Linked DNA regions of Drosophila melanogaster. Changing the gene in region 2 together with the main gene of any one other region gives a genetic interaction. Each region holds a gene or a part of one and is shown on either strand. Other genes may lie near its edges.

Region 1 (7,398 bases), on a different chromosome or scaffold from region 2:
TTTGCAGAACGACCGACACCGTTTTGTTGGCCATGCCAGCGGTTATGTTGCCCACGCGGTAGAAGCTAGAGATTCCATTGATCCAGGTGTGTGCTAACTGGACACTGAACACGCCCATGGTGCGATTGACATCAGGCAGGTGGTACGGATCGAAGCCCTTCTGCCGAACCATCTTGCGTGCCATGGCAATGGCGCTGTCCAGCGGCGTTATGGAATTGGGCAGTCGGCGTTCGCCCAAGGTTTTCTGGATCATTACGTTGATCTCGCTGCGCAGCTTTTTGTCCGCCTCCTGGAGCATAAATGGCTTCATGGCGTCGAAGACCAAGTTGGGCGCACCGTTCACCACGCTCTGAAAGACACTGCCCACCAGGCCGAGGTTCTGGAAGTCCATTGTCATGTCCGAGAATGTGATGTCGATCTTGATGCGGTCCGTGGCCAGCTGACCGTCTCGTTCGACGGCCAAGAAGGCGGTTGCCTCGGCATAGACATTCTTCAGGACTACTGTAAAGGGTCCATTGGCTTTCGAAAAGAATGAACTGAGGGTGTACTGGCCCTTGACCAGCATCTGGTCCAGCTGGAGGCCACCGTTGAACTGCAGGACAGAGGAGTGGAAACTTCAAGCCAATTCGAATTCAACTTGAAAACTTACTCTCATTTCCTTCAGGTCTAGGTTCATTTTATCAATGCGGAACTTGGACAAGCCATACGCCTTGACCTGCTTCATGTCCAGATTGGCCATGCCCATGCTCTTCTTCACATTGGGCACCTCCAACGGATCGGGCACGGGCACGCCGGGCAGACCCTGCGGATCCTCCTGCTGAAAGTGCACGAGCATGGCCTCCACCTGGGCGGCTATGCTGGCCTGACTCTCTTTGATCTTAAGTGCGTCATCCGACTCGCTGGCTTCCTGCTCCACAGCTGCTCAAAGGTCATTAATGAGTGGCTTAGTTCCGGTAGAGCTCAGACTGGAATTCGTCTTACCATCGCCAGGCTCCTGGGAGTGAACAATGTGGCAGCCACTTGCCATCAGGCCCACGAGCACGACCACTATCAACGGCTTCATCTTTCGGGGATTAGCTGGAGCTTCTGCTTATCAGTTGGAAAATGGAAGAAAACGCGCCAGCCTCCGTTCTCTACTCGGAACAAACACGCACTGTCGACTGGCGCGTTAATCAAAAGATAATGATGAGCCGCAGGCGGCGATCCGCTTATCTAAGGGCGACTCTGCTCGCGGAGCTGCTGATTAAACTCGGAATTGAGATTGAGTGACTTAAGTGAGCGGAAGCGGCCAGCACATTGTAGGCACTCATGGAACTCACTCCACTCCCAGGAACGATGTTCTAGAAATCATGAACTAGCAGCTTGCATGAGGCAAAGAGTGTTACGGTTCGAAAACGGTTTTGAAACCCAAAGAAAATCGCGCATTTTTCTGTAGTAGCAATGCTCATTTTTATTTGAATATTTTAATAGTTATATGTTCGCATATATAATATGGGTATATATGGCTTACTTGAATTGTTGTTCTTAATCCTAGGTTCACGTGCTCAAAAAAATTCATGCTCAAAAAAAGTCTTAGCCTATTCAAAAAAATGTCTTAGCCTATTAAAAAAAAAGGTTTTTTTTAGCTCACAGCATCCACATTTTGGGCAAAGCAATCTATAATTCGCTGTTCGTTGAACGAAAATAATCTTTAGTTTTGACTAATGCTTTACTCTTAAATAGATTATCTTTGCTGCAGCTGCAGAATTGCTTTAAATAGTTATGTATACGACTTTTGGCTTAATACGTATTAAAAAAAAATTGAGTTTTGGAAACGTTTGCTGGATGATTACAAAAATCAGATTGTAGAATGCTCCTAAAAGATATTTGGGAGTTGATTTGAGTGGAAGTTGTTTGAGTGGGGGAATATATAGCATAACGAAACCACAAGTTAAAAACAAGAGAGAATGCTAAAGTCGAATTTCCCGACTATCAGATACCCGTTACTCAGCTAGTGGAAATACGAACGCGAAATTTCATCATTTTTCTGGGATATCCAAGAGATATTGGGAAATAAAATGAGAAAAAATTTAAAATTGTGGGCGTGGAAGTTTTGGGCGGTAAGTGGGCGTGGCAACATGGGTAAACAACCAAGCGCTGCATCTATGTCTCTAGAATTTATATGCTTAATCTCAACCTTCTAGCTTTTATAGTTCCTGAGATCGAGACATTCATACGGACAGGGCCAGATCGACTCGACTATTGATCCTGATCAAGAATATATATACTTTACATGGTCGGAAACACATCTAGTATACCCTTTTACTCTACGAATAACGGGTATGATAAGAGGATCAAAGACGATACCACGTTATGGATGCAATTCAGTGCTGAATTCGACCATCCATAACGTACATAAAAATTATCTATTAAAGGATTGATACCTGGACATCACTGAGCACATAAAAAAACAAACATATAGGGATGAGTCGTCTTGCTTACAAGTCATCCGAGCCCGACATGATCTCCTCGAACAGTGAATGGGCATTGTCAGTGGCCGATGATCTGTCGCCAGCGGCAGAATTGCTCCTGGATCCGCCACTGACAAGCTCATCCACCGTGTCGAGGGCCGAGAAGTTGGCCCTTCCTCGGCGTGTTCGACTGGTCCTGAATTTCTTGGCCGGTGGCTCGATGACTTCCCTGTCAGGAGCAGGAGGCGGTGGTGGCGAAAGTGATGGAGCTGGTGGATTCGGCGGGTCAATTGTTGGCATTATATAAGCATACTGGGGAAGGGAACCGAAGCCATCGGTGTGCTGCAGCTGGACACGAATAGTGAAGCCAACGGTGACCGGATCAAGGGGCTTGCTGCCCTGGAAGATATTGAAGCCTGCAATTGGAACAGGGTTAGATAGGTCTAACACAGCGATGAGGTAACTTACCCTGGTACTCGCCTTTCTCATTCTGAACAAGCACCAAAGGATGCTGGGATTGCTGCAAATTATTTAGCGGCACTAGGCTTATGGGGGCAGAAGAGTCTGGCGGCGCCATACTGTTCTCCTCCTGCCTAGGCTCAGCTACCACCGGCTCCTCCGACTGAGTCATCGGCTCTGGAACGTCCTTCGGCATTTCGAAATCCTCCAAATCATCGTCCTCATCACTTTCAACGTAGTCCTCCTTGTGCGGATTCTTGCAGCACACGCAATGACACCCGGCACAGCTGTTGTAACTCTTGTAGCAAGGACATCGGGAATTCCGGCAGGTGGTGAGGGTATTGCTCGAGCCGGAGATACCGCAGCGGCACTTCGGCTTCGGAGGCTTCACCTTTTCCTCCTTGTCCTTGCCCCGAATCCTGCGAAGAGCGCCCTTTCCAGATTGCACTTTAGTCTTGACCTCAGACGGTACAGGCTCAATTTTGGCAGCTTGTGACGCTTTGAGAGTACGGGTTCTCTTTCGCTTAAGTGTTGGCTCGTCACTGTCCTCCTTCTGCAGCTCAGCACTGATTGCGTGCAGGTCCTTCTCCTTCTCCTTCGCCTCTTCAGCCGCTGCCTTTGCGTCCTCAAAATCTTTCTGCAACGACTCCGCATCCTGCAATTCTGTTTGCACATGACCCAATTGTGTTTTTGTGGCAACATGCTCCTCCACTGCTTCCTCCATTTCGGTTTGTGTAGGTGACTGTGAAGTGTGCACATCCAAGTGTTGATCCTCCTCCATGTGCTCAGCTACAACCTCTGACGGGATTGAGGTCCCTTCGGCCTCTTCAACGGTCTCTTCAACCAGAGCCTCATCAGATTCCTCAACTTGCAGATTAGCCAATTGATCAGAGATTTCGTTGGGTTCCTCAGCGGAGGTAAGCACTTCTAGCTGCGTGGATGTTTCAACGGTCTCTTCAACGGTGGTGGAGAGCACAGTCAACTGTGTGGACGTCTCGACGGTCTCCTCAACGGCAGCCAGCACAGCCAACTGAGTGGAGTCCGCCATTTGCACCACCTGGCCGATTTGCAGTTCCTGTGGATCGAACTTCGTGGTCGCAGAAGTGGGCATCACGTAGGAGACAGCAAAGTTGTTGCCGCTATTTGTGTATTTGGACACCGAAACCGTGCCAGACAGGTCTACCTGATCCGTCCACGCTTGGTCCATGAAGCCCGACTCCGAGCTCTCGGTGGCAATGACTATTTGCCCGGCGTGAGAGAGCATGCCCATGCGAGATCCTGTGGGCAGCAGGGGAAGCGGCGAGAAGTGACCCTGCTCCGCTGTGGCCGCCGCCTCCGCCTCAATGTCGCTGATGTTGAGGTGGTGATCATAGGGCAGTTCCGGAGTCGTGACCGCCGACGTAGGCGGCGTCTCTGCGGGCAGCGATGTGGGCATGTCCTTGAGGAACGGCAAATCCGGCTGGGGCAGAAAGATGTCAAAAGTGTCGGAGATGTTTGAGCCCTCGCGAATGAACTCCTGTGTGGTTTTGGGAGGCAGCTTGATGCGAGGCACCAGCTCCCTGGCCACCTGGGGCCGCATCCCGGCCAGCTCACCAAATAATGCCGAGTGGAGCAGGTGGACGCACAGCGTCTTGTAGCACAGTAGCTGGGCGGCCATCATACGGTTCTCCTCGTAGGTCTTGAAGTCGGAGCAACCCTCGCACTGGGTGCAGCTGGGAAACAGATGCTTCTTACCGCGCAGACACAGCCGGCACACGTTGTGCTGGCACCGCTTGCCCTTGGGCGAGTAGGGATCCACCAGCAGCTGGCAGCAGACCACGCAAGACAGCAGCTGCCGTAGCTCGCCGAGCCCGGAGTTCAGCTCCTCCACCCGCCGTTTGGAAAGATTCGAAGCGGAGCGCATCGCGATGCGTGTCACCTTCAAGTATGCCGTCTGGGCCATGATGGCTATATTTTTATGCCCGGGACTGTACGCACGCCGCTGTTTGTTTACGTTTTTCAGCCCAAAAGTGAGACTCCGCTGGCCAAGTAAGTGCCTTGTCGGTCCGACCCACGCCACCTGCTCCGCTACCTGGTGCCTCCTGGGCTAGTTACCTGCAATTCCTCGCCCGTAGGAGCTCAGTTACACATGCTTAGACCGCGTTAATCCTCGATTTCATTATCTAATGGTAACTTTACTGGAACGCTTTTTGTTGGTTTCACTTTTGTGGCTTCGTTATCACTATGTTTCACGTGCAAAAAAAAAAAAAAAATTGGTTTACGTTTGAGAGGTCTCAAGTCATTGTTAATGGTTATGCTGCACACTGTGCAACAGCGTTGAAAACAATAAATTAGCAACTAAAAAAAAAAATTACCCAAGCAATATTTTGCTGAGCGAAGCCAGTGTGACCGCAGTGTGCCAGTGCGAACATGCTAGCTGCAGTGCGGCATAGGTGTGACCACTACCTCGAACAGCTGATTTCAGTGCTCTGAGGAATTTTCGCAGTTACGAACTGCGGTCCTACAACAAATTTTAACACTTAGTTTTTCAAGTAAATATGGTTTTTTAAGTATTTTCCGTCAAAGGAAAGCGGAAAACCTTGGAAATTATTTACTAACAGCTCTTCCGCTTACGCCAGGTGGTAGGAGAGCCAGAAAATGCCGGAACCGCGCAGTCCGATGGCCAGTTTTGCCGAGTCGGTGCTGAATGTCATCGATGGACCCATAACTTGGTTCCGTGGTATGTAGTCCACAGGGATTCCCAATGGCCATGGTCATGGGAGTCTCCAGATGCTGCAAGTTTGCGTTTCCTTTGGCCAACGATCGGAAAAACCGGACAAATTCCAGACAATTACATAATGACATAACCTCAACTCGCAGTCCATTTGTTTTTGTTTACACTGTATTGCTGAAATGCTAAAATGTTTATAATCAACCGTTTTAAGTAATTTCTAGCTAGCGCAAACTAAATCTCTTAGAATACTAGTCGGCAGCCCTTAAATGCCGTCCGTTACTATATAGTTCATCTAGTCAAAGCGGGATCATGTTTTTCAACAGAAATGCATTACAGCTAGTATATTTTATTAATGCGCCTTGTGTTAATCCCACAGAGAGCATTGTGGAGCCGAACCAGCAGAAGCAGAATTGGTACCACCAGCGCTTCCGCCGCGTTCCGACGATCGACCAGTGCTACACGGACGATGCCGTCTGCCGTTTCGAGGCCGATCAGCAGTTCCGCCGGGATCGCATGGTCGACAACGAGATTGTCAACATTCTGCGCCAGCGCTTCGAGGACTGCACCCTCTACGAGGCACCCGATCACATGGTCAAGTGCAGGCCGCTGATGGATCAGTACGAGAAGGCCACCGAGAACTGGTTCATCAAGTGTGAGTGGAATCCCTTACCCATCTTCTTTAAAGTTGTATGTGATATATAACGAGATATAACCCATTATAGATGGCGACTTGGGAGGCTACGCCAATGCCAAGACCGCGTACATGAAGCAGAAGCATCGTCTGATCTGGGAGCGTCGTCATGGACCAGTGGGCAGTGGCATGAAGGAGGAGGCCGCCCATTAAACTCCGCTTTTATGATGATGTTTTCTAGTTTCATTATCCGTTAAAACAAAATATACACGCCGTAAAACGATATTCCCAAGGATTGAGCTTTCTTTCAATTGTTTCAGTGTAAATTATAAGGTAAGAGCTACTAGGAATTATTTATTACTACAGCAGTTTCAATTCATTTGTCTATTAGTTGCATTTATTCTTAGTCATGTTTTTCTTAAAATAAATATTAATATTGGCGTTTGATATAGAATTTTGGCTATAGACTAGCTTAAAACTAATAGTTCTCAAGATTAAGAGCCTTGGTTAAGTTGTTCCAGTGAGTAAAATAAAGTTTTTGCCTGCGTACTGCAATAAGTTTACAGAATATAGTGATAAATCATAAAACTCACACTGTAATTCTTCAGACTTTTTCGAAAATTTAGACAATTTCAAAAAGAGTTCCATAATTTCTCATTTTTTAAAAAAAGGAATGCACAGTCCATAAATCATTTGCTTTTCTTAAAAAAAGAAAAAATTACACTTTTAGAAATAGATACCAATAGATAGGCAATAGTGAAATTTGTTCAAGCTTTCTAGAATTACGCTATCTTAGATTACTTTCGAGCTCAGCTAATCGAGACCAGCGGCTTGTTGATGAGACTCTTTTTGAGCTTAGCCAGAGCGCTATTTGCGGCCTTGTCTCCTGGCTTCTTGTCCTTGTTTTTGGGACCCAATGGTATCATGGTTGTGTCCATTAGCTTGCGTCTGAATCCCTTGTAGAACTGCAGCACGTGTGGATTGGCCCACACTTGCTTGGCGTCAAAGTCCAGGATGCGAATGGACTGCAGGGATTTCGCACGGGATAAGGCCACATAGGCCTGTCCAGCCTCAAATACTTTGGAAAGGGACATCTCCACGCAGTCGAGGGTTAGTCCCTGACTCTTGTGTATGGAAAATGCCCA
Region 2 (9,024 bases):
AGCTGCAACTCCTGCTGCAGATCGCTCAGCGGACTCATGGGCTCAATTACGACATCATCTCGCCACGATAGCATTTCATCAAGTATCTGCCGAATATTTGGCAGGGGCTTTGGTTCGGGAAAGCATGTGCCCACATCGTGGTGCTTGATGAAGGAGGCTGTAGTGGTTCCCCGGGTGGTGGTGGTGTTCTTGTGTTGCGTGGCCTGGTTGCGCGTCTCTATCAGACCTTCCACTTGCACAGCAACAGAGCAAAGCGCGGGCTTGGGATCAGCGGGTTCCTCGTCGGTTTGCGTAGATTGGTTGACTCCGGGCTGATGGGCTTTCCGTTTGCTACGTGAATTCGGGCTCTTTGGCGTGGGCACGCTTACGTCTATAGTCTTGCAGTGCTCCCTTAGCTTCTTCATGATGTTCTGATCCCGCCGCAAAAGTCCACAATCGTCGCCCAGCCGCTGGGAGAACTGCATGAGTATGGACAGCACATCCTTGGCTTCCACGGGTAGTCCCCGCACTTGCAGCTGCTCCTGCAGATTCTCGCAGTTCCCAACCTGTACGTCCAGCTCCTTTTCCAGCTGTCCGCATCGCTCGCCGATCTGCTTGGTGCGCTTCTCCAGCTCGATCCTCTGTTGCTTCTCCTTCTGGTACAGATCCGTCACCTCTTGGGCGGTGCGCTGCAGGTCGGCCAGCTGTTTGTTTTGAGCCTGCAGCTGTTTCACCTGGCGGATCAGCTCGTCGTTCTGGGCTATTCGCTCGGCCAGCCGGCTTCGCTTGGCGTACACATCTTGGTTGCTCCTGGGCAGCGACACCTGCTTATACGGCGCCACCAGAGCATCTTGCAGCGGTGCGCTTGGGCCCAGAAGCTGATCTATATTGAAGTCGGAGAACTCGTCCAAATTCATGTTGCGCAGACTTGTTGTTGCTGGATTTCACGTGGTTGCGTGTTCAAGCGCCACTGCGGTTCTAGAACTTGCAGAAAACAAGGAGAATCCTCATTTTCCACACAATTCGCTAGTCGGTCACGAGTTGGACAATATTAAGCTGCGCATCTGGCGATTTAATACACAAAACAGAGAAATAAAACAAAATCCGCGTTTTTCTCTGCAGCCGGTCTCCAAAACATTTCCCTTATCGACAACCCAGCACGAGCCTATCGATATATATGGTATGGGACTATTTTATGGAACTCTTATAGGTCGTTCTCACTACTTCGTTTTTGATAGTTCACACTTTATTTATAATAAGAGGTTCGAATTATAGTTTGATAATATTGTAGAGGAAGTAAATTTTGAATTACTGATAATAACTAAATTTACATGATTTGCGTGCGTCCATTGAAGGGAAACAAATGTACTCTGAATCAGTGCGATTCCCTGCGTTAGGTTTAAGCCTATGGTTTTTAGGGCTATTTTACAATCTTTTAGAAAACATTGAGAGCATCATTACCAAAAATGGGGAATATTGAGAAAAAATCCAATTCATTTCTAGACATGAGCCAATTGTGACGTTAAAATTTGATGCATTGTTTTGCGCAAGCTACTAGACTGAGACAATTTTTGTTTAGTTTTTAAAGATGTATTCAACATATTCTAAAGCATACCCTCTTGAATACCCCTACCAATTGTAGTAGAGCAATTGATGATATCGATCACTTATCGTCTTAAGTTCCATCCCTAGCAGTTGCGGAAAATAAATAAAACTTCCGGACTGTAGAAGATTTTACTGAAAAAGACTCGATTTAAGCACACAACATGGCCGACGTAGACGACGGGTCCGAGCTGCTGTTCTTCGACACTTTCTCGCATGAGGAAGTGACGGTAAGTGCCTCCAGAAGCCCCCACTCGGTGCATTCGCTGAACCCCACTTCCTCCTCTCCTCATAGGACATCAATTTGGATTTGGTGCAGTTTCCCAAGCCGGTCTTCATCACACAGGTGCGGATCATTCCTCTCGGCGCCCGAGTCCAGGCAGACTTTCCCGGCGGCGTTCGCCTGGGCGCCACCAACCCCTCCAAGTTCGACCTGGAGTTCTTCGTCAATGACCTGGGAATGCCGGCTGCGTCGGCATTCGAGAACCTCGGCCTGCTGCGTTACAACCAGAACGACTGCATTCACTTGGATTGCTCGCAGGAGAAGATCGTCACCGACGGTCTGGTGCTGCGCGGCTGGTACAGCACCATCACACTGGCCATCTACGGCATTTTCACCAACTCGGTGACCGAGCCAATCGCCAGTCCAACGCTGCCCTGCGAGCCCGTGGGCCCGGAGATAGCCAACCTGAGTGGCGAGGTGCTCCTCCAGGAGGATGTGCTGAAAGACGAGTGGCAGGAGCCGATGCAGGCCGAACTGCTGACCGCTCACAAAGGAAATGTCAGCGATTACGATCCGGAGGACATGGAGTATGGAATGTCGCGGGATCATTACCACCAGCATGCCGAGGAGCAGGAGCAGCGAGAGATGCGACGACTGCGTCGGTCCACGCATTCCACGGATCACTCACCGCCACCGCCCAGAAGATCGCACACGCATTCGGAGAGCAACGACAGGGAGTACATCAGGTGGTAAGTGGTTATCTGTTTTATTTATTATATTCAGACTTATCACAGACCTTTCATTGCAGTTCCCGCGACAAGGGCTCCAGGGATTGGTCGCGTTCACCGGAGTATTCCAGCCATCGGTCACGTCGCAAGCGCTCCGAGAGATCTCGCTCCGTTGTGGACGAGCACAAGTGGCCCAGAACCCCGCCCGCGTCGATAGACTCACCGACACGTCCGCGTTCGCCAGACACGATGGACTACGAGGACGAGGACTCGCGCTCCCACTACAAGATGCAGTCATCTCACTACCGGCACTCCTCCGAGTCGCTGCACCGTGGTGAACGGGATCGGGACGATGAGGACCGATCGTGCACGCCGCAAGAGCAGTTTGAGCCCATTCTCAGTGACGACGAGATCATCGGCGACGACGAGGAGGACGACGCAGTGGATGCGGCTGCCATTGCGGAGTACGAGCGGGAGTTGGAGGCTGCTGCTGCCGCTGCTCCTCCGGCCATCGATGCTTTCGAGCCGTGGCAGAAGCCACTGTTGGTCTTTGAAGGGGACATGGCAGCCCACTTCTGCAAGGAGCTGGAAACTCTGAAGCTGCTCTTTAAGAAGCTGGTCCTGCAAACCCGCTGTGAGAATGTTAATGCCTTCAGCGAGGAACATGGCGCTAGTGTGGACGAAAGGGAGCAATTTGTGTACTTGGGTGAACAACTGAACAACCAATTGGGTTACCTAGCCCAGCACTACAAGCGGAGGAACTTTGTCCTGCAGCAGTTCTTCGGAAACGATGAGCTACATCTGCGACAGGCGGCTAACGTGCTGCAGATTGCCCTGAGTTTCCAGGCGGCATGCATGCAACCACAGCCAGCTTTTAAGATCCGCCACATCAAGCTGGGTGCGCGAATGGCTGAACTTCTGGGCAGTAGCGAAGAGCTCTTCCAGCACTTGTTGAAAGAGCACAAATTCGATATCTTTGAGGCGGTGTTCCGGCTGTACCACGAACCGTACATGGCTCTGTCCATCAAGCTTCAGCTCCTCAAGGCCGTCTACGCCCTGCTGGACACCAGGATGGGTATCGAACACTTTATGGGAGCGAAGAACAACGGCTATCAGATGATTGTTGAAGCCATCAAGACAGCCAAGCTGACCAGGACGAAGTACGCACTGCAGGCGATTATAAAGAAGCTGCATTTGTGGGAAGGCCTGGAGAGTGTACAGATCTGGTGCCGTCGTCTCTTCGTGGACCGAATAATCATACCTGGTAATCGCGATCAAATGGAGGACACAGTGATAACTTGCCAGCAGATAGAGTTTGCCTTCGAGATGCTGATGGATGCACTGTTCTCCAGCCAGTTGAGCTACTTGCAGCCGCGTCGCTTTCTGCCCGTGTCCAAGAAATTCGAGGTGGTGACCGATCCCACGGCGCAGCGCAGTTTCGGAAATGCCCTGCAGTCCTACTTGGGACAGAACTCACTGGCGGAATCCCTGCTGGTCATGTTGGCAAACTGCAAGGAGTTGCCGGCCACGACGTATCTAAGCATGCTAGACTTGATGCACACCCTTTTGCGCTCGCATGTCGGCATTGATTACTTCGTGGATGATGCTTTTCCTGTAACGCAGACGATTGTGGCCATACTGCTGGGCCTGGACGAGGTTCCTCGAAACCCGGAGGAAAAAGAGGAGAAGGCAGAGAAGTCGGATGCAGAGGACAAGGCAATGGAGGTCGAAAATGAAGCTGTGGAAGCTGGAGGCGAGAAGCCAACTCCACCGACGGCCGACGAGGAGGGGAAGCCAGTTGCGGCCCCGATTTCCGTTCCAGCTCCAGCTGCTGCTCCTCAAGTGCGACCCAGGCCGATCCTGCGCCCAGTACTGCCACGCCTGGCCAGGTTGGGCATCGAAATGTCGTACAAGGTGCAGACGCGTTACCACCTGGACGCCATTGCTTACGCTGCCGCGGCTCCCGAATACGATGCCGTCAAGTTGGCCACGCATATGCATGCCATTTACTCGCAAACCTGCGATCCGGCTGGGCGGCAGCACACCGTGGAGGTGCTGGGCTTGAATAACAATCTTAAGATCTTCATGGATCTGATCAAGAAGGAGCAGCGTCTGCAGACGCAACGCCAGCTGAGTTCGCCGGGCACGAAGTACAAGAGTCCGGTATTGAGCTATGCCGTGGACATGGTGGACGCCTGCGTCCGCTACTGCGAGCAGTTGGACTACCTTATCGAGCACGGAGGTGTGATCCTGGAGCTGGCCAAGAACCACGAGACCTTCGAGCCCTCGGTGTCGGCCGTCCTGCAGGAGATGTACGTGTACATGAAACCCTTAGAGGCCATCAATGTGTTCGTATACGATGACATTATGCCGCTGGTGGAGGTGATAGGACGCTCCCTGGATTACCTAACCACTTTTCCCGGAGATCTGATAATGGCCATGCGGATTTTGCGCTATCTCTCCATAAGCAAGCCGCTGGCAGGTCAGAAAGCTCCTCCAGTGACCGAGGAGCTCAAACATAGGTTCGTGGCCCTGCAGCTGTACGCGGCGGATGGTGTCCAACTTTGCATCCAGATCATGGAGCGACTATGCGCCTACTTCGAGCAGCCGGGTGCGCACGCTCCCGCCCTGATGACCATCCAGGGAGTGCATTGCTGCCAGATCATGCTGCCAACGCTACAGATCCTCCGCGAGCTGCTCTCCTACGCGATTCTGTGCAGAGACGGCACCTACAAGGACCTCACAGCCATCGATCACCTGGTGAAAGTGTACTACCTGCTCTACTACTTCCCCACGCGCTGCCAGGCGGGACCCGAGGTGGAGCAGTGCAAGATGGAGGTGGTCCAGACCCTGCTCGCCTACACCCAGCCGAACGAACAAGACGAGGAGTCGCTGCACAAGTCCCTTTGGACCCTGATGATCAGAGAGGTGCTTAAGAATGTCGATGGTCCCGCGCACTTCATTCCTGGTAAGCTAGACTTTGCAAGAGATCTGATCCATCTAATGATTCCTTCCGTACAGGACTGAAACTTTTGGCGGAGCTGCTTCCACTGCCGCTGCCTATGCCCCAGCCGCTATGCGACCAGTTGCAGCAGCAGCACAAGCAGCGTCTGATTACCGAGCGGAAACTGTGGTCCGCCCACTTGCATCCCCAGAGCGGTCAGATCGCCAAGCTGGTGGAGGCACTGGCTCCGTCCAGTTTTCCGCAGCTGTCCGAACTACTGCAGCGAGTGTGCATGCAACTGTCCGACCTGGCGCCCAACATGACGCTGCTGATCGCCAAGACGATCACGGAACTGCTGTGCAATGAGTACCAGACATCCAACTGTATTCCGACCACCAACCTGGAACGGCTGCTTCGTTTCTCCACTCGCTTGTGCGCTTTTGCCCCTTTGAAGAGCTCCATGCTGTCCATACTCTCCGGAAAGTTCTGGGAACTCTTCCAGTCGCTGCTGGCACTGAACGAGTTTAACGACGTGGTTTCCAACTGCCAGGAGGCCGTTCACCGCATTCTGGACAGTTTCCTAGACTCGGGCATTTCGCTGATTTCGCACAAGAGCACGGCTTCGCCCGCTTTGAATCTGGCTGCCGCACTGCCACCCAAGGAGCTCATTCCGCGAATCATCGATGCGGTCTTCAGTAACCTGACAAGCGTGGAGGTCACGCATGGCATATCGATTCTAGCGGTGCGCAATCTGGTCATCCTCACGGAGCACGAGTAAGTTCTGAATATCACTCGCACGCTTTTAATATTAATATTATCTATACCGCCAGCTTCACTTTCTACCATCTGGCGCAGTTGTTGAAGCAAAAGATCACCGAGTTCCAGGCGTGGATGGAGCGCGTGATCCTTCACAACGAAACGGTGGAGTACAATGCCAACATCGAATCTCTGATCCTGCTGCTGCGCTCTCTGACCCAAATAGAACCGCCGCCCGCCATGTCGGCCATGCCACACCGCACTCTGAAACTGGGCGCCACAGAGTTGGCTCAGCTGGTTGAGTTCCAGGACATTGAGCTGGCCAAGCCACCGGTGCTGAGCCGCATTCTCACCGTCATGGAGAAGCATAAGGCAGTGGCCAATGAGGCGGCGCTGAGCGACCTCAAGCAGCTGATCCTGCTGCAGGCCTCTAAGCAGGAGATTCTCGCCGGAACCAGTACGGAGACGCCACCAGAGGCGGAGGGCGAAGCCAATCCATCTGCCAGCAGCTGCAGTGCATCTCTGACCGTGGAGCCCTATCTGCCACAGGCCGAGGGCATTGTCACACAGTACGAGGCGCGTCCGATCTTCACGCGATTCTGCGCCACCGCCGAGAATGCCCAACTAACGGCGCGCTACTGGCTGGACCCGCTGCCCATCGAACTGATCGAGGACATGAACGAGCCGATCTACGAGCGCATTGCCTGCGATCTCACGGATTTGGCCAACGTGTGCCTCAATCCGGACTTGAATGTGGCTGGCGATAGCAAGCGGGTCATGAACTTATCCGGCTCGCCCCAATCCAATCGGGAGATGACGCCCACGGCGCCTTGTTTCCGCACGCGCCGTGTGGAAGTTGAGCCCGCGACTGGTCGACCCGAAAAGAAGATGTTTGTGTCGTCGGTAAGGGGTCGTGGTTTTGCTCGGCCACCACCTTCCAGGGGCGATTTGTTCCGCTCCCGGCCGCCCAACACCTCGCGACCGCCATCGCTGCACGTGGACGACTTCCTGGCCTTGGAAACTTGTGGCGCCCAGCCCACAGGACCCACCGGCTACAACAAGATACCCTCAATGCTGAGAGGCTCCCGGGTGGGTCGCAACCGAGGATCTCGAATCTCGGCAGCAGCTGCCTTTAGGTAAAGTGTCACGATTACCACTTAGCAGGATAACGCTAATGGGCTCTTTTTACTCTTTTAACAGGCAAAAGAAGATGATGCGCATTGGTTCGCCCTCCAGCTGGGCAGAGTCCCCCGGATCGTATCGGTCTGCCTCGGACTCCCACTTCAGTAGCAGCGACTCGCACTATTCGTCGCCCCACTACAGTGGACGGCCGCGTGGACGAGGCCTGCGTTCCAGGCCATCCTACCTGAGATAGGAGGACATTGCAGCCCAACCCGCTTCTCACTGACACTTCCCGTAAACTCGGCAAACGAACCAGAACTAGATCCTAAGATGCCCGCTGGGCAGCTGAATTCCAATACTTAATAGTGTGTGTTGCTTTCGTATTAGTTCGCTTTACTTCCCACTTTGTATGTAAGCCAAAAGTTAGTTTTCCGTAATTACACTGTGCAAACGGACGTCGTGCGACTCCATGGGCAACTCCTCGTTGCTGACTATCTGCTCGTTGAGCGACAGTGCCATCAGCGAGATCTTCTTGTGCGGATACTTCTCCGCGTGCTGCTTGAGGAACTTGTCGTAGTAGCCCATGCCATGGCCCATCCGAGCTCCGCAGCGGGTGAAGGCCACACCGGGCACAATGAAGAGATCGATGCCGTGCCCTGTGGTGATCGAGTGTGTGTGTGTGGGTTTAGAAGGAGCTCTGATGTATGCCTAGCCACTCACCGTTGGTCATGGCATCCTCGCGTGCCTCCTTGAAGTCCGGCTGCTTTATGTTCCACTTGGTCAGAGGCAGGCTCTCGTACTCCTCCATGCCGCGCAGCCGCACCATCTTCATCCTGCTGCCCTCGTAGGTGGGCACAAAGACCATCTTCTCCAGGCGGAACATCTCCGACAGCAGCGCCGTGGTGTCCAGCTCCGAGGCTGTGCTCAGGTAAATGCTCACCCGCTGCGCCTGCCGGAAGATCTCGCTTTGCAGCACCTGTGCGATCGAGCCGATTAGGGGGATTGGGAATTAACTTGATAACCTTGGGGCCCAGCCAAACCAATGTTACCTTAGCCGTGACGGCCTGCGACTGCCGGGCGATGGCCTCCGCGTCGATGCCCTTCAGTGCATCCTTCATGCGCTTTCGCAGCGCCACCTTCAGGGTGTTCTGGATCGTGGCCGCCATTCCTGCCGCTGGATCATCTACTGCACACTCGAGCGAACCGGTGCGAACTGTTTCCATCTGCCTGCGCGGTCCATGCGTCTTTAGGTCGCCACTCCGCCGCCCGTTATCAGCTGCGCTTACACTGACGCTTATCTGTCGGCTGTTCCGCTTTGCAGCGCTGTTCGTAAACAAATGGAAGTGGAGCGGTCTGGGGAAAGTTTAGGCTTGCAGTTTGGGTGAGCCGCGGGGCGATCAGCTGATCAGGGATGGGAGTTATCCAATACACAACCAGTTGTAAATTAAACAAAATATATTTGGAGTACCATTCCCATTAAATACAATTCAGACAATCCAGCCTAACCATAGTTAAGCTAGTGGAGTTCAAAGCTCCTGGTTGGGCTCACTTCTTGGGAGCCTCTGGTGCCTTAGGCTCCGTCTTGGTCTTCAGGTTCTTCAGTTGCTCCTTTTGCTGCAGGGAAACATGGAATCTTTACCTCGTGTACAGTCTGGTGTAGTAGAAAGAGC
Region 3 (8,957 bases), about 17 Mb from region 2:
AATAAGGAAACGCCAACTTTTTTGTTCGCGAATAAGGCGTGCGTGTGAACGTAGCAAAACTCACCTGCGTGTCATTCAGTATCTCCAAGTGCTCTCCCTTGCGGAAGCTCAAATCCTCGTCGGTGCGGGCGTCGTAGTCGTAGAGGGCGACAAAAATCTTGGCGTTGGCACCTGCCGTTTCGCTCTCCGGGATCTGGGGAACCGGACGTATCTGCTCCGGTGGCTGTCCGGCGTGTGAGGGCATGGGGATTTGTGGCACGCCCACTCCGACTCCGATGGTGGGCGGGTCGTCCAGCTTGATTCGATCTGCGGGCTTGTCGGGTTCGCCCTTCTGTGTGGTGAGGCAGTTACCCATTGTTGGATGAGTAGTTGTGCTGCCGCCGAGACTGAGTACTAAATGCAATCAATGGAAGCCAAATTGCAGCGCTTGCGTTTACTGTTACTTTCACTGTTTGTTTATTGTTTGTAGCTGCGAGATCAGCGCTTGGGTGTTGGCACTAAACGCCGCTCTCACTCGATCCCCTCTTCACTGACTCTCTGCACTGCTTACAATTTGTGCAAGTTGCTATCGCCTTTTCGCTCAACTCTGTTTTACTGGGCACTAACGAAATTAAATGCTTGCCCACGACCAAACGTGTGCCTGTGTGTGTGCGTGCGTGAGTGTTTTCTCACTTTTATCTACATTTGCTCGTGTGGGTGTGCGTGATGCTGGACTGCTGGCAACCAACAAAAATCCAGCTGTGTACCGGCGTTGGGGCCGCAAAAAAGAATTCAAACTAGGCGATTAAATGGGTGACTCGCGATTGCACTATTATTTAGTTGGGCTGGCATCCGTATTCACATTTTAACTCAAATATCGTCCTCTTTTTCCCATCGCGTTGCAAAAAGCTGTGTGACCAGTACGCGGACTCGAGAAATACCAAAAGACTGGGGCAAATATACTATAATACTGAATTTCAGTCATCATCTTTAAAATACTAATTTATTTCAACAGCTTGGATATTTTTATTTGAACAGAAATCAATGGTCGTGTCGCTGGTCAAGTTTAGTGGTCTTCTTGGTGCCAGAAATGACTATTTAATATATGATTATTTATGCTGATTATTATTTTTTTCATCGTAAATTAGCGTAAATTATTTAAGGATTCTAAGACCTGCTATGATATGAGGAATCTTTCTTGACGGATTGAAGGGCATAACATAGTCATATGATATCAATTATTCGATAATATTCTGTCCTACACATCTTACGCAAAAAACGGCTCAAAATTCGTCTACCAATTTGAATTGGAATTCCGTTTCTTTTGTTTTGCAATATTTCATTTATTACTTATACATAAAAGACTTCTCGGCACATAGGCATATACGTCAATTCAAAACAAACAGAACTGCATTACAACATAACTCCCTGATACAAGCTCATCCTTCAACATACCACATCAAACTCCTTTCAACAACACCACATCACACAACAGGAAAACGATATTTCTTATTAACAGTCTCAGGCTTGATCACATCAACCTTACAAATGACCATTACAAGAACAGGTCCCCCATATATATGTATATGTATTTATATGCGCTCTTTGCAACCAGTTAGACGTTAATCCCATCCTAGCATACTGTTCTTCCCTTTCGCCACATAGAACAGTTGACATCAACACAATTAGAAACTTTTTAAAAAGCTCCAACCTAATTTAAAAAATATAAAATGGAAGGTGCTAGCTGCTAATGCATCTAGGTTTCAGTTACCTTAAAATTTTATACTCTACGTTATATTTAAATAAATAAATAAAAGTATATATATAAGAAATTTGTCTGTTTATTTATAGTGCAATATATACAAATATGTCTAAGTCTCTCTATAGGTTTCTTTTATTTTAGATTAAATTACATTAAATGTTTTTATATCTACACACACTGTTCTATTTTATCCGTTCCTATTTTGATAGGCGATTCAAGACGCGTTAGTGTTTTGTAAAGCAACAAAAAAATTAATCGATATCAGAATAGACATCACAAAAGAAATAAATTTAATTTGAGCTCCGTAGTTGATAGAAAGTTTATTGAAAATCTAAGAATGGATATAAAATCTTTTTTGTACCAATTTTGTGCTAAGTCGCAAATAGAACCAAAGTTTGATATTCGCCAAACGGGTAAGTGGTTATGTTGCACTCCCCCAGGCGTGTTTCCCAAGTAGCAGTTTAATTTATAGGTCCCAAAAATCGCCAGCGGTTCCTTTGCGAGGTTCGTGTAGAGCCAAATACCTATATTGGTGTGGGTAATTCCACTAACAAAAAGGATGCCGAGAAAAATGCGTGCCGTGATTTTGTCAACTACCTAGTGCGCGTGGGCAAACTGAACACCAATGATGTTCCAGCGGATGCTGGTGCTTCGGGGGGCGGACCTAGGACTGGTCTGGAGGGTGCGGGCATGGCAGGGGGCAGTGGACAGCAGAAGCGAGTGTTTGATGGTCAGTCGGGTCCACAGGATCTGGGTGAGGCCTATCGCCCTCTAAACCACGATGGCGGTGACGGCGGTAACCGCTACTCAGTAATTGATCGCATCCAGGAGCAGAGGGACATGAACGAAGCGGAGGCTTTCGATGTCAACGCTGCCATCCACGGTAACTGGACCATAGAGAATGCCAAAGAGCGACTGAACATTTACAAGCAGACGAACAACATTCGCGACGATTACAAATATACACCAGTGGGCCCGGAACACGCTAGGTATGTGCTTCCTTTTCAACTTTCTTCGGCCTGCATTTCGGATTTGACCGAATATGGCCTACGGCCAAATCTGAAATGCAGCCCATAATCATGTCGGGCTGTGACCAATTTGATTTGTGCAGAGCAGCGCCGGCAGAACGATGTGGTACGATACTCCGAACTACAAGAACCACGTCCAGCTTCCTTGCGTGGGGTCTGTAAGCAAAACGGACGCCCATGCAACGCGGCTTAGCTGACAATAATTCAAGCGCTGACTTTCCAGCTGCGTCTAACACATTAGTACCACGCCGTTCTGTCGGCTGGCTCCTTCAGCAGTCCGTAGACTCCCACGATAGCCCGAGGGTAAGTTCCGGATTTGATCTACATTACCAGTCCAGATTTTTTCAAAAAGTTCTTTTAATGTAGGAGCTTTTTGGCCGAATTGTCCATTTATGTGCCGGCGCTCAATCGCACGGTGACGGCCCGTGAGTCGGGTTCAAACAAGAAGTCTGCCAGCAAGTCATGCGCCCTGTCCCTGGTGCGCCAACTTTTCCATTTAAATGTGATAGAGCCCTTTAGTGGAACTCTGAAGAAAAAAAAGGATGAGCAGCTGAAGCCATATCCGGTGAAGCTTTCGCCAAATCTGATAAACAAAATTGATGAGGTGATTAAGGGTTTGGACCTTCCTGTCGTAAACCCGCGCAATATCAAAATCGAACTGGACGGTCCTCCGATTCCTCTCATTGTAAGTAATACGAAACTAGAAAACTAAAATAAAAATGTATCAGCAATTTGAATTAAATTTCTTATCTCAGAGTATTAAAAAACAGTTTAGAGATTTTATCAGACAAAGACTATTAGCTAAATGTTGTATACCGGTTTCAATATTCTTGATGACATCCAACAGTACTTTATAAAGTATATATTATTATATTGATTTACGTAAGTCATATACTTAGGAATACGCTAGTAACTCCCACATCGTTCAGTCCCTCAAAAATATTTGATATGCCGAAACAACAATGCAAATACTTTAACTCGATTAATTTGTACTGCATACTTGGCTGTAACATTTGTATTTTTTCTATATATAGCTCTCAATACGCGTCGACAGACACCATAATCGACCTAATCCAATTCTGTGTTCAAAAGATATTTCAAAGAAGGTTTTACGCTACGTTAGCATAACTAAAATCTGCGTCTTTAATCTTAACTTTCAAGCTTTTGTTGTGATAGACTTGGCTAGTGATCTTGAACAAGATTATTTCTGTTATCTCTTACATTCATACCCTTACTATATGAGCATAGGAATACGCTGCCCTACCCAAACCACCTTTTTTTTGCGAACAAAAAATGTAGTGTACGATGTAAAATATTTTCTCCTAGGTGAACTTAAGCCGTATAGATTCCTCGCAACAGGATGGCGAAAAACGTCAGGAAAGCTCCGTGATTCCGTGGGCTCCTCCTCAGGCAAACTGGAATACGTGGCATGCCTGCAACATCGACGAAGGCGAACTGGCAACCACCTCTATTGATGACCTTTCGATGGACTACGAACGCTCGCTGCGTGATCGCCGCCAAAACGACAACGAGTACCGACAATTCCTCGAGTTCCGCGAAAAGCTGCCCATTGCAGCGATGCGGTCGGAAATTTTAACCGCAATTAATGACAATCCAGTGGTAATCATTCGTGGAAACACAGGGTGCGGAAAGACTACCCAGATTGCCCAATACATTCTTGATGACTACATCTGCTCCGGCCAGGGCGGGTACGCTAATATTTATGTGACCCAGCCTCGTCGCATTTCAGCCATTTCTGTGGCCGAGCGCGTAGCTCGCGAGCGGTGCGAGCAATTGGGCGACACTGTAGGCTACTCGGTGCGATTTGAGTCTGTGTTTCCACGACCCTACGGCGCAATCCTCTTTTGCACCGTGGGTGTGTTGCTGCGCAAGCTGGAGGCTGGCTTACGAGGAGTGTCGCATATTATTGTGGACGAAATCCACGAGAGAGACGTGAACAGCGACTTTTTGCTGGTCATCCTTCGCGACATGGTCGACACATATCCGGACCTGCATGGTAAGCTCGAATAAGGTGCAATATTTCTAACATAAATCCGTATGTATAACCTGCATTCAAATTTCTTGGGGTGAAACTCTTCGACAATTGTTGATTATACTTATATATTTATATATACATACATTTGTATATATGTATTGTATATATACATACATTTACATGTATAAAAAGCAATGTTGAGCAGATTTTGAGCCGCGAAAATAACTTATTTTGCACTAATTCACTGGCTTAATTAATGAAGATTATGATTATATTGTTTGTACCGGATCCGCCCAGAGTGTATATGTTATGTTCTTAATAGTCGATTTGTCAGTTTGTTCCATTGAAAATTTGCATTGCCAATTGTTTGTGTTTCATATTTAATGTAGAGTTGACTTGCCAAAATTACTTATGCCCAACAAAATTACTATTCAGAACTTAAAACTTATATGCATTACGGGTCATACATTTCTAGTCCTAATTTAATATGATATGACTTTTAGAAAACACTATAATTAATAGAAACTCTTCTATTGCAGTTATTCTTATGTCGGCCACTATTGATACAACGAAATTTTCCAAATATTTTGGCATCTGTCCCGTATTGGAAGTACCCGGAAGAGCATTTCCCGTGCAGCAATTTTTCTTGGAGGACATTATTCAGATGACAGACTTTGTGCCTTCGGCGGAGTCGCGCCGAAAGCGCAAGGAAGTGGAGGACGAGGAGCAATTGCTTTCCGAGGACAAGGACGAGGCGGAAATCAACTATAACAAGGTGTGCGAGGACAAGTATTCACAAAAGACTCGAAATGCTATGGCCATGCTATCCGAATCGGACGTTAGCTTTGAGCTGCTGGAGGCATTATTGATGCATATTAAGTCAAAAAATATTCCCGGTGCTATCTTAGTATTCCTGCCCGGTTGGAACCTGATCTTTGCGCTTATGAAGTTTCTGCAAAATACAAACATTTTTGGTGATACATCCCAATACCAAATTTTGCCGTGCCACTCGCAGATTCCACGAGACGAGCAACGCAAGGTTTTCGAGCCTGTTCCAGAAGGCGTAACCAAGATTATACTTTCTACCAACATTGCAGAGACTTCTATAACTATTGACGACATTGTTTTCGTAATTGATATATGTAAGGCGCGCATGAAGCTCTTTACTTCACATAACAACCTAACCAGCTACGCCACCGTTTGGGCAAGCAAAACCAATTTGGAGCAGCGCAAGGGCCGAGCTGGACGTGTCCGACCAGGCTTCTGCTTCACACTCTGTTCGCGTGCCCGCTTCCAAGCGCTAGAGGACAATCTTACGCCGGAGATGTTCCGCACACCGTTGCACGAGATGGCGTTGACCATTAAATTACTCAGACTGGGCTCCATTCACCACTTTTTGTCAAAGGCATTGGAGCCACCTCCGGTAGACGCAGTAATCGAAGCTGAGGTGTTGCTTCGCGAGATGCGCTGCCTTGACGCTAACGATGAACTTACTCCATTGGGGCGCCTGCTGGCACGCCTCCCAATTGAACCAAGACTTGGAAAGATGATGGTCCTCGGCGCAGTATTTGGCTGCGCCGATCTAATGGCCATTATGGCTTCGTACTCTAGCACCTTCTCAGAGGTGTTTAGTCTTGATATAGGTCAACGTCGCCTGGCAAATCATCAGAAAGCGTTGAGTGGTACCAAATGTTCCGACCACGTGGCAATGATTGTAGCTTCACAAATGTGGCGGCGCGAGAAACAACGCGGTGAGCATATGGAAGCTCGGTTCTGTGACTGGAAAGGACTGCAAATGAGTACTATGAACGTTATCTGGGATGCCAAGCAGCAGTTACTGGATCTCCTTCAGCAGGCAGGATTCCCAGAAGAGTGTATGATATCGCACGAGGTAGACGAAAGGATTGATGGGGATGACCCCGTGCTGGATGTGTCCCTGGCGCTGCTGTGCTTGGGTCTCTACCCCAACATTTGCGTGCACAAGGAGAAGCGCAAAGTGCTGACTACAGAGTCTAAAGCAGCGTTACTGCACAAAACCTCGGTGAATTGCAGCAACTTGGCCGTCACATTTCCGTATCCGTTCTTCGTTTTCGGCGAGAAGATTCGCACGCGAGCTGTTTCCTGCAAGCAACTATCTATGGTCTCGCCCTTGCAGGTGATATTGTTTGGATCGCGCAAGATTGACTTGGCCGCCAACAATATAGTGCGCGTTGACAACTGGCTTAACTTCGACATAGAGCCGGAACTTGCGGCCAAGATTGGTGCCCTTAAGCCGGCCCTGGAGGATCTTATCACGGTGGCGTGCGACAACCCTTCCGACATACTTCGCCTTGAGGAGCCCTATGCACAGCTGGTCAAAGTGGTCAAAGACCTTTGCGTTAAGAGCGCCGGAGACTTCGGACTGCAGCGTGAATCAGGAATTCTGCCGCACCAATCACGTCAGTTCAGTGACGGCGGAGGACCGCCCAAACGAGGTCGCTTTGAGACAGGACGCTTTACTAACAGCAGCTTTGGTCGCCGTGGAAACGGCAGAACTTTTGGAGGAGGATATGGAAATAATGGAGGAGGATATGGAAATAATGGAGGAGGATATGGAAATATTGGAGGAGGATATGGAAATAATGCAGGAGGTTATGGAAATAATGGTGGATATGGAAATAATGGCGGAGGTTATAGAAATAATGGTGGAGGATATGGAAACAATGGCGGAGGATATGGGAACAAGAGAGGTGGATTTGGAGACTCATTTGAAAGCAATAGAGGATCAGGCGGCGGCTTTAGAAATGGCGACCAAGGCGGCCGCTGGGGTAACTTTTAACGGATACATAAAAAAAATGTATTGGTTTTTTCAAAAACAAAAAGAATAATAAACATTACTATTCGCATTTCGATATGCTGAAGGGATTATACAAATAAGACGCATTGAATCTTTTGGTTTTTTGGCATTAAATACGCATGTGCGATCCGAATAGATTCACGAGTTAACGTATGTAAATAGTAACCAAATATGATAGTTCCGCTGACATTCCCTAACCTGTTGCATACATACATATATTGCTGGAATTTCGTTTGTGAAGGCGTGGAAATCGTTTATTGTCACAAAATGAGATCAAAAACATTCATTCTATAAAGGCTTTTGGTGAACCTGTGTAATCATTATTTTTTATCTCTGCTAGCATTTTAGACGATTACTGATTTCGCAATTAGACCTTTTTAAAACATATGTCATGACAACAATATATACAATAAAAAGCCATATATATGCAAAACATATTTCGTGCCTTATCAAAACTCGAAGGGAAAAGAAAAATTAATTATTGTACAGATATGGCGGTGATTTTAAAATATCATAATTTTCGAAGCAATAATGAAAGTTGATCAAATAAATATTAGATCACAAAGATTTGAGGAGCACCAGAAATGTAATAGTAACTGGAGTAAGCTGTTCTTACGCTTCTTTTTTACTGGTCAAGATGGTGAGCTTCGTTACCAATTAAAAGTGGTGGTCAGTGATGACGTTGTGTTGCTAAGCAATTCAATTTTTATCGTATGTATTTCGGCTTCAGTGAGAACAGTTTTTCAATCGAAGTATCGATACGACACAATTAAAAATATCGAAAGAGCGTAGTATCATTCATCTCTAGCATTTGCTTCGGCGCGTAGTTTTTGTTTAACCGATACAAGACAACCAAAAGTTTCAGGTCATTTGCTTGAGGAGAACGATATGGACTTTGACAATGCGAAAGAGAACATTCAGCCGCTGGCCAGCGGTCGCAATGTGAGCCTTCTGCAGGCTTCTCTTAGCCAGGACTCCACCCACGGCCAGGAACTGCTGGCACAACGCAAGCAAATGGAGGAGGAGGTGCGCACCTACAAAGGCGCGGATCCTCTCGGTGCCTGGTACACGTTCATCTGCTGGATCGAGCAGAGCTATCCGGCGGGGGGCAGTGGCTCCGGTCTGCAGACTGTCCTACACCAGTGCCTCACCAAATTTGAAGACGACGAGCGCTACCGTCAGGACAAGCGGCTTATAAAGCTTTTCATTAAATTCGTGAGTAGCCGATGATATTTTAAACGATCACTCAACCACCGATTTTACTTCGTCACTTTTTAGATGGAGAAACAGAAGGACAAGATCGAGTTTTATCAGCAGATGTACAACAACGGGATCGGAACAATGCTGGCAGATTTC
Region 4 (6,209 bases), on a different chromosome or scaffold from region 2:
ATTCACAATCTAATCCACAGTCTATCCACGATGAGCAACAGCGAAGGAAGCGGCCACGAAAGTGGAATCCGTACACTGAATCGCAATGCGAATGGAAACGGCAATGGAGACCTCAGTCTGATGCAGGATCTGCAGCATAAGTACGCCTTCCTCGAGAATCTCTTCAGCAAGTTCTGGAAGTCTATCATCAAGTCGAATTCCAATCTCAAACTGCAGTTGCGCAATGTCAAGTGGAAGAATGCCAAGGCGAAGCCCGGCTGTGCCTACCAGCCAACGGAGGTGAGTTCTATACATTGTATGTGTACAGTACACCTGACGCCTAAACCACATTTACTCTATCCAAAAAAAAACAGATCGAGCAGGTGGCCAATGTGATTACTCACGGCATTTGGATACTGCCCGCCGTTTTTGCGGCCATCAAGCTGTTTGAACGCTCCTCCAGCGCCAGCCAGTATCTGGTTGCTTGGGTCTACGGCGGAGCCCTGTGCATGCTCTTCACGGTGTCCACCTTCTTCCACTGCTCCTGCTATTGCGCCGAGCACAAGTGAGTGCGCACACAGGCTGATTTAACCATTTGATTTGTACATTTTTGTATACCTCCACTAGACCACCGAAGAATGTCAAGGCCTGGCCCTGTCTCGGCTGGCAGACGTATCAGGGGCTCAAGAACGTGCTCCATCGCTGCGACAGGGCGATGATCTATGTGTTCATCGCCGGATCGTACTTCCCCTGGCTCACGCTAGAGAACACCGATCATTCGGCCATACTCTTCTGCATGGAATGGGTCATCTGGCTGATGGCGGGCATAGGAATTGCCTACCAGCAGGTGGGTTCATTTACAGCACCCGTGTTCACATGCTCCTTAAGGTGAAATTTCCTTTTGTTTGGCGAAAACAGGTCTTCCACGAGCGCTACAAGTGTCTGGAGACGTTCTTCTATCTGGTGATGGGCCTGGGACCCGCTCTAGTCGTTGTGTTCACTGGCCACCACTTCCACGGTATGATGCAGCTCAAGTTCGGCGGCGGCTTCTACATTCTGGGCATTGTATTCTTCAAGGCGGACGGCACGATACCCATGGCCCATGCCATTTGGCATCTGTTTGTGGTGCTGGCCGCCGGATGTCACTATTACGCCATCCTGGTGAATCTATATCCAAGCGAGGGAGCCGCAGCACCGTGAACAAACGAGCGCCACAAAGCAGTTGTGGTAACATGCAGCGAATTTAGAACTTAGAGTACTTAACGACAGGGATTCGATGTTGTCAGCCATGTGTAACGTATTCCTATGATATACCCGATGTACCCGAGTCTCTGCTCCACAATTAGCCAAATTTTAAGCGAGCGAGGACGCCTAGCTTGTAGTCTAGTTGTAGCATTACGAACTAACTAAATCGAAACGATTCTTGTGATCAGTATGTGCGGTCTTGCCAAAGATTCAAATTGTGCGAGTGCTCATCTCTCCCTCTCCCTCTCAACTTTAACTTGATATTATTAGCGATATTCATATATTTAGTATCCATAACGACCCGTTTTGGCCATGTGTTTCTCAAAAGACTTTGAACCGTACTCAAAAGGCAAAGGACACGAATATTAAACTTGTACAAATATCCGAGAGTTAACGACCTGAACCTTTTGAACACTAGAAGCCCGCCTATCCCGCATTGCATTATGCATGTTTATACAGATTATACAGATATATTATATACCCATATATACCCATATACACAAGTAGATAGAATTAAGAGGCCATCCGATCCGCGAGTCCAGCCCCTTCGGCCAGTTTCATCGCCGAGCTCAGGGACAAATCGATGTGTTCGCAGATACTGAAGAAGGTGACTATTTACAAATACGCTTGATATCTTGATATTTTCGGGGCCTGGCTCGCGATCGGCGGATATAGCTTTCGTGTACTACTCGTATTTATGGTGCAGATCGATTAGTTTTAATGGCTCTAATAAATTGTATATTTCCAAATGAAAGCAAAGGGCTCAGATGTTTGTTGCGTGCTCAAATATAATTGTTCGTTTTACAATGTTATGCATGTATCTTGTTTAGCTTATTCATACATCTTGTTTAGCTTTAAATATATGAATATACATATATTCTTTTTTTGGTTGCAAATATATATATATTATTTTATTGAAAATTTTTTTTTGTTTGTGTAGAATTCTAAATATTTAAATGAACGAAATCTAACGGGGCTCAAAAGACATAAAATTGTATCTAATTTTAATTCGTTATTTTCTTTTCTTTAAATGAAAATTTCAAGCTTGATTTGAATTCCCATATTTGAATTTTATGTGACCGTTACGAATCAAGCGAAGGTGTGAAACTTGGCTAAATGGGTTCGTGTATTCGCTAAATGGAGTGAGTCTTAACTAACGCGGTGTAGAAAATGAACAGTGTGACCAGCCGAGTGCCTAGAAAAATAACGAAAACGCGTTTAGCCACCGTAAAGCCACCCAAATAGCTTAAATTGACCGACAACCGCGAAACGTGCACACTGCTTTGTTGTTGCCGAAGAAGGAAAGTCGCGCAGTGAATTTTTTTCTGGTAATTTTTCTTTGCTCCTCCTGACACTCGCCACGTAAATCAAACACACGATCCAAGTGAATAAGTTAAAACGTTTTAAAAATCATGACAAAGAAGCTGTTTTGTGTGCCCCATGCAATCCGTGTAGCTACAGAATAAGTGTGTGAGAAGAAATAAATCCCCATCGAAAAAACAATACACACACAGACACTGCAGCATGTACATATATATGCATATAGATATATATATATACATACATGCACAGGGTTTCTAGCGTGACGTGAAGTGTATATAACGAAGCGAAATTAAAAGAACACGCAAAAAGAGAAAAGTGGAGAGGAAACGATAGTGGAAAACACGCAGACATTGTGAAAATGCGCATAGATCATATCGCAATTGTAGTAGTACAATTACAAAAAAACCAAGCATTTTTGGAGTTTTTCTTTTCTTTTTTCAAGTTATACATGTTATTTTTTTTGCTGTTGGCCTCAAATACATACATATGTACATCTGAATAGAGCGAGTAAAGAGCAGTATACAGATACTCGCTGTTTTTTGTTTCTTATTTTTTGCTGTATACGGTTTTTTGTGAAGTTATTGAGCTGAAAGAAGAGTGCAAAAGCGATTGACGAGCCGAAAACATGTTGTAAAATTCCATTCAGCATTTCCCACCACTACCAACAACAGCAAAGCAAAAGCAAAGCCGTTTTTGCTCGCTCTCCCACTCCTTCTCTCTCTCTCTCCCGTCCACTCGTTGTTACTTCATGTACTAATTTTTTTTTCTGTGCTTGCGGCTTCGTCATTCGCATGTATATACATATGTGTGTGTTGCGCCTACGTGAGAGAGCGTGCGAGTGTGTATATGCCCGCAAACGCATAAACACACGCGCACACACTTGCAAGGCGATTCACGCGCCTGGCTTACACTTTGTTTTTTCTTTTTTTTTTCGTTTCCGTTACAGTTGTGTAGTACATAGCAACATGCAAGCATCGCCCAAAAATCATATGCACATACACATAAACAGTAAGTTGTACATAAAAACAGCAGCGTGTGTGTGAGTGCTTAATTCTTTTTTTCCATTTTAGTCTCTAACTAAATAATAATAACTAAGCCGCTGGGTAAGTGGTTTTGTTCGTATACAAACAGCTTTTTGGGGCAAAGAAACAACAAGAGAAACCCAAGGGCAGTAAGAACATATAACGAAAGGTAGGCGAAAAAGACAACAACACACATGCATACAGTCGCGTCCAGTTGTGAAGGGCCGAAAATTCTGGAATAGATTTCGCTTTACCTGAGTGTTTATCGCGTGTCCCTTTTTCACTTCCTTTAGTTCCGCTGCAAATCGACTACCTACATTTACGCATATCCTGTATACATATTACTTCCTGTTTCACCAACTATGCCACCATGTGTTTCTTGCTGCGCATAAATTGGAGTATTTTGTGATTGCTTTTAATAAGTAGATATGTACCTATTTTTTGGTGGTCGACTGTGGCGACCGCCCTACGTCGACGGCATTGCCAGCTGTTATCATCGAAGGCAACGTGTTTTGGCGTACACTTCACTTACACATGTGTCCCTGGTTAAGATATGACATATTTTGGAGTTTCCCAGAGCTTCTGCAATTAAAATAATTGTAATTTCTTCGTTGAGTGTTTATATAGCTTTAGTTGGCGAAACATTATTTTAAAGATCCTCATTAGCGACACGCGCCTTTCGGTTTATGGCCCTCCCTTTTCCATTGAAGATCAGGGATCCTGGATATTTCCAGGCAGGTAGTGAGCGCAAGGGAAGATGTTCGCTTCGCCCTCCGTTGTTGTCTCTATCGTACGCTCAGCTGCCGTATTTTTTGTTTTTCAAGTTGCAGCTGGCTGGTGGGAGAGGAGTGGAGTGGTGAGGAGAGGGCAGCTGCATTTATTTCCTTTTCTCTTCATCTCCGCTTCTCGGTGGGTCATTCCCCTTCTTGCTGTTGGCAATGACGTCGCATCGCAACGATCGTTCCCTTCGCTTAAAGCGTATTGGAAATATTGGAAATGGCGGTAGCTAGTACTACCCCCACCTCCACCAACACTCTTAATTCACATTTCTGCATTCCATTGAGGTCATTCCCTTGCGCAAATTGCACGTTACACAATTCCCATGAGCGTTGCACCCCGTTTTAAACCTTATTTGGTCTTCAGTTAATAAAAGCTTCCCAACAGTGGTCTCTAGATAATGCAACTACTTAGCGTCGTTATTTAAGAGTATATTTTGTAGCGTTGAATGTTCTTATTTCGATGTTTTTATGGCAGATAATACTGAGTTAAATGAAGTTGAATACGTCCTTGAAAGTATATATGTTTCGGTTCCGCAATGTCAAGTGTTCACTGTACTTTTTAAGCTCGCTCAATGTTTTAAAAAGCATACATGCATACATATGTACATACATGCGCATTTGGATACACTTGAAATAACAACAGTATAATAACAATCCAAGCGGACGATCAGCTGGAATGTTCGATGGATCGTTGATTGTGTCTGGCAATGCCGCTGTGATTTTGTTTCCAGACCGAGATCCATTCATGCATGCGGGTACATGACTCATTTTCCCAGCTGAGCGATTGTTAGATGCACAGATGTGTACATGCATCTTCTATATGTATATATGTATACATTAGCTCATGTACTTAAATGGGCTTTTATCAGCTGTTTAGAACACACATTCACTCAAGCACTGCATAATAGTGCTGCTCTATTTACACAACTGTGCTCCAAATTAGCAGACTACTGTTATCAAACTGTAAAGTTTTTCTCGCATTTTGTTATTGCTTTACAATTCGCTGGCGCTTTCTCCATCTCTTTCCCTCGTACACTGCCGAAAAATGTCTGCTAAATGGTGTCAATGAAATCAATGAAAGCCTGCATTGTTTTTTTTTTATTATTGTTATGTAATATTTTTTTCTGTTGTGTATCATTGCAATATTATTTGCTGCTTTGAATTATTAAACAGCTAAAAAAGTCATATATATTAACATTTTATCGTAATATTTAGAAATAATTTTGAACTATTTGTTTTCAATTTTTTAATATGATACATTGGATATATTATTACCACGCATTGTGATATGCATTTTCCCCAAAAGTTTTGTCCGTGATGGACTTTCTTTTATTTTGGTTTTTGATTTCATGGTGATTTAGCTTTCACCCATCTGCATATGGAAAGTCTATGGGTCTTTGGTACTCTATTACTTATGTTTGAATTTTCTTTCATTTCTGGGCTCTCCCATTTTCGGAATGACCGACCTTCTGGTTACCCTTTTGTATTTTCCCCCCACCTTTTTGCTTTTTCCGTATTCACAGCTTGTGACGCTTTTCGTTTCTCTATTTCCGCATTTTCCGTTTTCACGCTGGAAAGCGAGGTACACACTCTGTTTTATATATTTCTGTACATATTTTCATTTTCCTTCCCCTGGGCTTCTTTCTTTTTTTTCGGCATTTGCTGTATATTGTGTACATGGGAAAAGAGCAGCCCTCGAATTTGATGACCGTACCACCCCATTCCAGCCGGCTTTTATTCTGGTTTTTGTGTTTCTGAGCGACCCAATGCGATTTAGGCCGCCCCACCCACTTGGCCGCCGCCCCCCTTTGCGCCTTCGTTTGGCTGCCCTCGTTTTCTCTGGCTCCTCTTCTTCCCCCTT

The links.
Region 1: of vir (region 2) and msl-2, changing one suppresses a phenotype caused by changing the other (phenotypic suppression), as found in Drosophila melanogaster (one study listed by BioGRID).
Region 3: of vir (region 2) and mle, changing one suppresses a phenotype caused by changing the other (phenotypic suppression), as found in Drosophila melanogaster (one study listed by BioGRID).
Region 4: of vir (region 2) and Sxl, changing one suppresses a phenotype caused by changing the other (phenotypic suppression), as found in Drosophila melanogaster (2 studies listed by BioGRID).

What each region holds. Positions count from the first base shown.
Region 1 is NT_033779.5:3,460,789-3,468,186, forward strand, and holds msl-2 (male-specific lethal 2), read right to left. Parts: upstream 5,325-7,398; 5' UTR 5,264-5,324; exon of another isoform or gene 5,131-5,263; 5' UTR 4,852-5,130; coding exon 2,919-4,851; intron 2,867-2,918; coding exon 2,478-2,866; 3' UTR 1,430-2,477; downstream 1-1,429. Other genes in the region: CG3246 (uncharacterized protein), read right to left, coding at 1-592, 650-918, 982-1,063; ND-PDSW (NADH dehydrogenase (ubiquinone) PDSW subunit), read left to right, coding at 5,547-5,628, 5,999-6,274, 6,345-6,466; Pif1 DNA helicase, read right to left, coding at 7,063-7,398. UniProt on the Drosophila melanogaster protein: Limiting component of the male-specific lethal (MSL) histone acetyltransferase complex, a multiprotein complex essential for elevating transcription of the single X chromosome in the male (X chromosome dosage compensation).
Region 2 is NT_033778.4:23,358,976-23,367,999, reverse strand, and holds vir (virilizer), read left to right. Parts: upstream 1-1,644; 5' UTR 1,645-1,745; coding exon 1,746-1,811; intron 1,812-1,876; coding exon 1,877-2,553; intron 2,554-2,612; coding exon 2,613-5,500; intron 5,501-5,553; coding exon 5,554-6,250; intron 6,251-6,306; coding exon 6,307-7,368; intron 7,369-7,432; coding exon 7,433-7,607; 3' UTR 7,608-7,777; downstream 7,778-9,024. Other genes in the region: Ice1 (uncharacterized protein), read right to left, coding at 1-896; Mthfs (methenyltetrahydrofolate synthetase), read right to left, coding at 7,778-8,010, 8,075-8,330, 8,404-8,520; CG34423 (uncharacterized protein), read right to left, coding at 8,900-8,968. UniProt on the Drosophila melanogaster protein: Associated component of the WMM complex, a complex that mediates N6-methyladenosine (m6A) methylation of mRNAs, a modification that plays a role in the efficiency of mRNA splicing and is required for sex determination.
Region 3 is NT_033778.4:5,973,816-5,982,772, reverse strand, and holds mle (maleless), read left to right. Parts: upstream 1-1,994; 5' UTR 1,995-2,078; coding exon 2,079-2,154; intron 2,155-2,213; coding exon 2,214-2,730; exon of another isoform or gene 2,731-3,072; intron 3,073-3,135; coding exon 3,136-3,454; intron 3,455-4,095; coding exon 4,096-4,786; intron 4,787-5,304; coding exon 5,305-7,583; 3' UTR 7,584-7,679; downstream 7,680-8,957. Other genes in the region: BubR1 (Bub1-related kinase), read left to right, coding at 8,490-8,816, 8,880-8,957. UniProt on the Drosophila melanogaster protein: RNA helicase component of the male-specific lethal (MSL) histone acetyltransferase complex, a multiprotein complex essential for elevating transcription of the single X chromosome in the male (X chromosome dosage compensation).
Region 4 is NC_004354.4:7,094,344-7,100,552, reverse strand, and holds the start of Sxl (Sex lethal), read left to right. Parts: upstream 1-2,499; 5' UTR 2,500-2,552; exon of another isoform or gene 2,553-2,608; intron 2,609-2,784; exon of another isoform or gene 2,785-2,929; intron 2,930-3,486; exon of another isoform or gene 3,487-3,555; intron 3,556-3,617; exon of another isoform or gene 3,618-3,738; intron 3,739-6,068; exon of another isoform or gene 6,069-6,209. Other genes in the region: CG4615 (uncharacterized protein), read left to right, coding at 31-279, 354-544, 607-826, 898-1,179. UniProt on the Drosophila melanogaster protein: Sex determination switch protein, which controls sexual development and dosage compensation in females. Sxl protein is only active in females: it is inactive in males throughout development.